Linked DNA regions of Yarrowia lipolytica. The protein of the gene in region 2 binds, or shares a complex with, the protein of the main gene of each other region. Links are inferred from orthologs where the notes say so. Each region holds a gene or a part of one and is shown on either strand. Other genes may lie near its edges.

Region 1 (2,831 bases), about 170 kb from region 2:
CTGGTGCCTCTTCCACCCCCACAGTCAACACGGCAGCAGCCGCGGCCACAACTAACGGTACAAGTAAGCCCACTTCTCCCGTGGCCACTACCCGACCGTCTACTGCCGCCAACGCTGCTGCCGCCTCTTCTGCTGCTGCCGATGTGCCTCCTCCCAACCTGGAAGCCATTACTGCAACTACACGGGCCAAGTATGCGTCTTCAAGCGACGCCTCTCTGCTCAAGCCACCATCCCTCCCCAAGCTCGAGATCCCCAATGTCGTGGTTATCATTTCGCAATACAATTCTGACTTTGGCGAAAACATGGACTTGGTGTGTGAGCAGCGCGACAAGTTTGAGAGTCATTACAACGACCTGCCCGATTGGGTGGTAAATTTGCTTCTGTTCAACCAGATTCCACACAAGGATCCCGTCAAGGTGAACTTCACGCTGACACCGGAGCACGAGAAGGATGCCATCAACCCCCCTAGACTCAGTGCGTACCGAATGCTGCGTATTAAGAGGATTACTAATTACATTAGCGATCATCTGGCGTCTAGACCTAATCCTGAAACCATTGAGTTGTCCTGTCAGGGCCGTGTTCTGGGACCTAAGGAGACGTTGGCCAGTGTGAGAAGCCTGTGGAAGACGGGAGGAGACGTGGTTATCAATTATCGTTTTGTGTAATTCAGTGTGTGCGTGGATTACTAGGTGATCGCCGAGCAACACTGAGCAGCACTGAGTGGGTGAGCATTTTGCTGAGTCGACAGGCCAGTGTGTTGCCTACGTTCATAGATTCTTACAGCTGTACCAAGTGCAGCTCATCGGGACAGTATTAGCCCGTTTATTTAATGCATTTTGAGGAATGACTGGGTTGGAGATGAGTAAACTGCTGCTGTGGGTTTGCCACGTCCAGAGTATGTATTCCATAGCCATTATTATATTCGTTGTCTTAAGAAGCACACAAGATAAACATGGACCGATTGATGGTGCTGTCTGGACAGCTTCGTTTCCTTGGTTCCTATGGCGACGATTAGGAAGCGGCTTTAGGTGAAGCTCGACTTTTCAGTTAACAAACTTTCAACTAATGTCAGTTCTTAGATATTCCCAAAAAGCAGTTTTACAGCTAGTTTCTCTACATAAAGGAGAGCTTTTGCTTAATAAGATGAATATGTGGCAGATTTTATTCCAAATTATATATTCGCCATCACTCTAGCTGCTCTGGAACACCGATTTTGCCCCCCTAGTCTACATTTTCCTTTAACTAATTTCTAAGTAACAGAAGCACTGATGGTGAATTTGACTCTACTGAGTGCCTGTAAGGGTATGTGACCAAGGAAGCAACGATTCAGCTGAAATTCAACTGGTTAATATATCTGCGTTGGAGAAGAGACATATGACAAAAACAGCAAGTCTCTGGTGTTTCCCACACTCAAACCTCCCCACAATATAATTTGCGTTGTTGGCGGATCGAACTGACAACCTTCCCCTCACGCACACACACACACACACCCAACTCCTCCTATTAACCTCGGGCCCTAACCCCGCTAGTGACGAAAATATGCAGTGTGCAAAAAAATGAGTGCACGCCTTTGCAAACCGTCTGGTCACATCACCAACACATCTATTCGCACCACTCACATCAATCGACATGTCATCGGACGACGCACAGAAGCTTTGGAAAGTGTACCGAACGGCCAAGGAGCTGGTCAAGGACCGGGGCTACACCATCACCGACAAGGAGGTGAATCTGTCCTTCGACCAGTTTGTGTCGGAGATGTGTGATCCCATGGGCAAGCCCATCAAGAAGAAAATGTGTTTCATGGCGTCTCCCTCGCCCGAAGCCATCGAAAAGTTCCCCGAAATGGGCAACATTTGGGTCGAGTTCTGTGAGGAGGCCAGTGTGACGGTCAAGACGATGCGAAACTTTTGCATCCACATTTCGGAAAACAAGTTTGCCACGGGTATCCTGGTGTACGAAAACAACATGACTCCGTCCGCCAACCGACTCATCCCTTCGGTTGCTCCCGCCACCATCGACACCTTCCAGGAGACCGATCTGCTGGTCAACATCACCAAGCACGTTCTGGTGCCCACTCACATCAAGCTGTCTGGCGCAGAGAAGAAGTTTCTGCTGGAACGGTACCGACTGAAGGAGTCGCAGCTGCCCCGAATCCAGCGGGAGGACCCTGTTGCGCGGTACCTAGGTCTGCGACGAGGCCAGATTGTCAAGATTATCCGACGGTCGGAGACCTCTGGACGGTACGCCAGTTACCGAATTTGTCTCTAAGCGGAGGGAGCCACGCGACTTTTGCTTAGCATTCGATGCTGCCTTCTACCGCTTGCATCGACTCTGCTGGTTGAACAGACTTACATATGGCGCTATCAGGTATTTCAGACGGTTCATGGAACACGGAATAGGAAACGGCATGGAGGATCATGGAGGAAGAAGAGCCTCAAATAGATTAATTATTGTACTTTAGATGTTGGTGGTGGGGGTGGAGGTGTGGAAGGGTGCTGACGGTTGATACAGATGTAGGGAGATGTGCCAGTCACTAGTATGGTATAAGAGAGACCAGGTTGTCTTTGTGGTTGTTCTAGACCGTGGCCGAAAGGGGCTCAGATAGATGCTGCCACTACCCTCAGCAGAAGAGAAGGTAATTGTATCACAGCAGCAACGGCTCCGTTGAGTGGCTATCAGGGAGGTAGCCAGCTGACTTTGTGGTCTCCAGTACGAGGAATGTACTGAAGAGGTAGCTGCTCTTATGGACCTAGCTACTTTGTAGCTCCTTTTTGATCTGATTTTCTTCAATTACCAATATGCAACAACAGTTAAGGGAGAGAGACTGTTAT
Region 2 (3,199 bases):
AGTTACTCAGAAGAAGAAGGTGAGTCGACCTCCTCCTCCTCAGGAAATGTATCGCAAGCCCCAGCTGCCTCCCAAGATTCCTCTCGGCATGACTCGAGATGAGTACTACGTAGCCGAGCCGGAGTATGATGGCTACCAGGGCTATTAAGCCAACTCATTACACACACACACACACACACACACACACACACACACACATTACACACTCAAGTGTCTCACATAACACGTGCTTTACACGTACTCATATTTGTATAGATAATCTACAGAACTTATTGTGTGGGCCGTACAGGTAGCTACGTTCTAGTTGGTTTATATACGGGTGGCTAAAGTAGACAACGCGTTGAGTATCGTAGCAATGCGTCTGTTCTAGTATAACGAGAAGCAGTGTACCAATGCTGTAGATACTGCTTTAGCTATAGATACTGCTCTCTCTCGCTACGTCGAAAGTGAAATACTCATCTTCAATTAATAATCTATAAAACAGGGGGCGTATTTTGTAGTTTTTTGGGTCTGGTTCAGTTCAGATCCTAAAAGTTGGCCTCGTCGTCATCTCCATCATCATCATCTTCATCACCGTTATCGAAGTATCCCTCAGCATTGTAATCGTTATCATCTTCGTCATCGTAGACATCATCTTCAATCTCCTCCTCCTCAGAATCAGCTGCCTCCTGGCCCAGACGAGCCTCCAGCTCCTTGTCATCCACCATGGTCAGGGCCTGCTGGGCCTTGAGACGTGCCTCCAGCTCCACAGGCGACAGATCGGCTTCGTCCGCCTGGATCAGCGAGTTGGCAAACTTGGAAATACCCGCTCGACGACGCTTAACATCCTCTCCAGCCTCCTTCTTTGCTCCCATGGCCTCGTGAAGCTCCTGGGGGAACAGCTCCAGAATATACGGATGCTCATCTATCGACCGACCGACCTTTCGCTTCTTTCTGTACCGATCCGTGTATCGTCTGATGCCGTCATCACACGCATCGTCTACCTCGATGAGTATCCGTGACGCCTTTTTCTGTCCGTTCGGCCCCGTCTTGACCTCCACTGAGCCTGTGTACAGAGGTCCGTCTCTGACTTCAGCCTGGAACTTATAAAACTGTGCAGCCACCTCTCGCTCCGATGCGCTGGGTGGATCCTGAAGAGGCACGTTGGCCGGAGGGTATAGATCTGTGGGGACCATAGGACCAGTCTCGATTCCGAGCTGGTACATGGCTGGGCGTCTGAATGACATGCTGTGGTGTGTGATTAAAGGAAGCTGTGGTGTGGTTTAGAGCGAATCAAGTGATGATCGATCGCGTTTGTATGTTGCTGACGTGGTTGATGGTGTGTTTTTTTTTCTCTCTCTCGACTTGTTTGCCCTCTTTTGACACTCCCCAAAGTCGACCTTGCCTCAGATGGAAATAATTTTAGATTGGGAAAAAAATTGGACCTCGAAATGCATGCATGATAAGTTTAATGGTGTGAGTGCACACTGGACAGAGTGGAAGTCAAGTGGAGGGATGTGGATAGAATGGGCCATGGAAGAGGGGAAAGGGAACGGGATGGATGGATGGATGTGTTCCGAGGGCCCTTTGTAGGTAACCGACACCCCGAAAACCCCTATTGTGCCTTTCTACATGCTACATTCCTGCTTAGTCAAAATCATAACATTGCCATAGTATGTACAAGTACCTACAATACGATACTCGTGCAAAATACAACCAACACGATGTCTATACAAATATATTACTGAAATGTCAAGGGTACTGTTTTTATGGTTGGTGGAAGATGGTGTTTTTGAAGAGGTCTTACCGGGTTCTCCAGCTAGTGTAAGAGAACACGTCAGGTATCTCCTTGTATAAGAGGTCGAGTCCATTCATTTCCATTAACATCGCTCATGGACTCGATATTTACTCCTTCTTGTCGAAAATGTGGGCTTCCTCCTCGGGAACCAACAAATCGGCAATCTCCTCGTCACTCTCGTTGACCAGCTCCATCTCCTCCTGCTTGTCGATGGCAGACTGGAGCACCTTCTTCTGCTTGTTGGCTCGGGATCGAGCAGCGGTTCCCCAGCCAGATCCGGATCCAGAGGCGATACTGGAGGCCACCTTCTCATCTTCAGGTTCCTCGAGCTCGCCCTTGGCTCGGGCAGCTCGCGTCTTCTCCAGCTCTTCTCGCTCCCGCTTGATCATCTGCTTGGTCTGGTAGTTCTTCACCATTCCCATGATCCGCGGTCGCAGAAGAATGTAGCCGGCCACAATGATGAGGAACCGGATGTAGTCTGTGGTCGTGTAGTTGTTGAAAAATGTGATTTGGTTGAGCATGGTGTTGTTGGGGGACAAGTCAGGATGCGATATTTCTTTCACGATGCAGAGCGTAACCTATGTACGAAATCTAGGTTTTGGCGTTGTCCGTGTTTTTTTGCGTCGGATTTATCGGATTTACCACGAGTGTCGGACGAAATGTAGTTGGGGGTGAAGTTGCAGAAAAACAGACTGCTAATGTTGTTTTCCCGTGTCTACACTATTGATTCCACTTTTGTACAGCCCGAAATCTCCATTATTCGCAGACATAGACGGTGGATTATGGCATTCTCACCGTCTTGTTATGGACCTCTCTACAGGTACAGTACTGTAAATTAGACGTGAAACACTGCTACCAGTATCTAAACATCCTAATAACTGCTCAAGGTCAAAAGACAACATCGGAGCAACTAACTGAAACAGAGGCGACACTGGCTTCCTGACTGCCAGAAAAGAAAAGAAAACCAACACACCCTCCCTCTTATCATACTACAGGTACAAATACAACGTACTCGTACCGGTACTCGCATAGCACAACTCACCCAACTCATGCACCAGTTTTTTTCATCAACGTCGCATAAATCCGATGTGGGGTAGGGTCCACTCGATGAATGATATAGACGAGGTGGTCGATACTGGTATTGTGGCGTATTATATAAACATCGAGAACCGCTGCCGAACTCCACCACAGCGCTTCTCCTCGTCCTCGTACCAGTACTCTATGTGAAGGCATCTGCTGATGTGTTCGCTCCACTTAGCTACTTGTAGTACGAGCACCTATCCCACGATACTTGGGAACCATCGGTTGTACTTGGAGCTTATCCTGAGAGAACAGGCAGACCCTACAACACGAGTAGGTACCAGTACTACCCTAATTAGTGGAAGAACAAACGTCTATGTTTAAATTGCATTACAGATATTC

What was found. Proteins that work in one complex are often made in the same cells at the same time.
Region 1: YALI1_D10033g (region 2) and YALI1_D08285g share a complex: the UniProt entries of both Saccharomyces cerevisiae proteins name them as parts of the RNA polymerase III (Pol III) complex. The link is inferred for Yarrowia lipolytica from reciprocal best matches to the Saccharomyces cerevisiae genes RPC31 and RPB5.

The regions. Positions count from the first base shown.
Region 1 is NC_090773.1:826,958-829,788, forward strand, and holds YALI1_D08285g (uncharacterized protein), read left to right. Parts: upstream 1-1,629; coding exon 1,630-2,268; downstream 2,269-2,831. Other genes in the region: YALI1_D08251g (uncharacterized protein), read left to right, coding at 1-665. UniProt on the Saccharomyces cerevisiae protein: DNA-dependent RNA polymerases catalyze the transcription of DNA into RNA using the four ribonucleoside triphosphates as substrates.
Region 2 is NC_090773.1:1,001,397-1,004,595, reverse strand, and holds YALI1_D10033g (uncharacterized protein), read right to left. Parts: upstream 1,227-3,199; coding exon 528-1,226; downstream 1-527. Other genes in the region: YALI1_D10067g (uncharacterized protein), read left to right, coding at 1-148; YALI1_D10022g (uncharacterized protein), read right to left, coding at 1,885-2,298. UniProt on the Saccharomyces cerevisiae protein: DNA-dependent RNA polymerase catalyzes the transcription of DNA into RNA using the four ribonucleoside triphosphates as substrates. Specific peripheric component of RNA polymerase III which synthesizes small RNAs, such as 5S rRNA and tRNAs.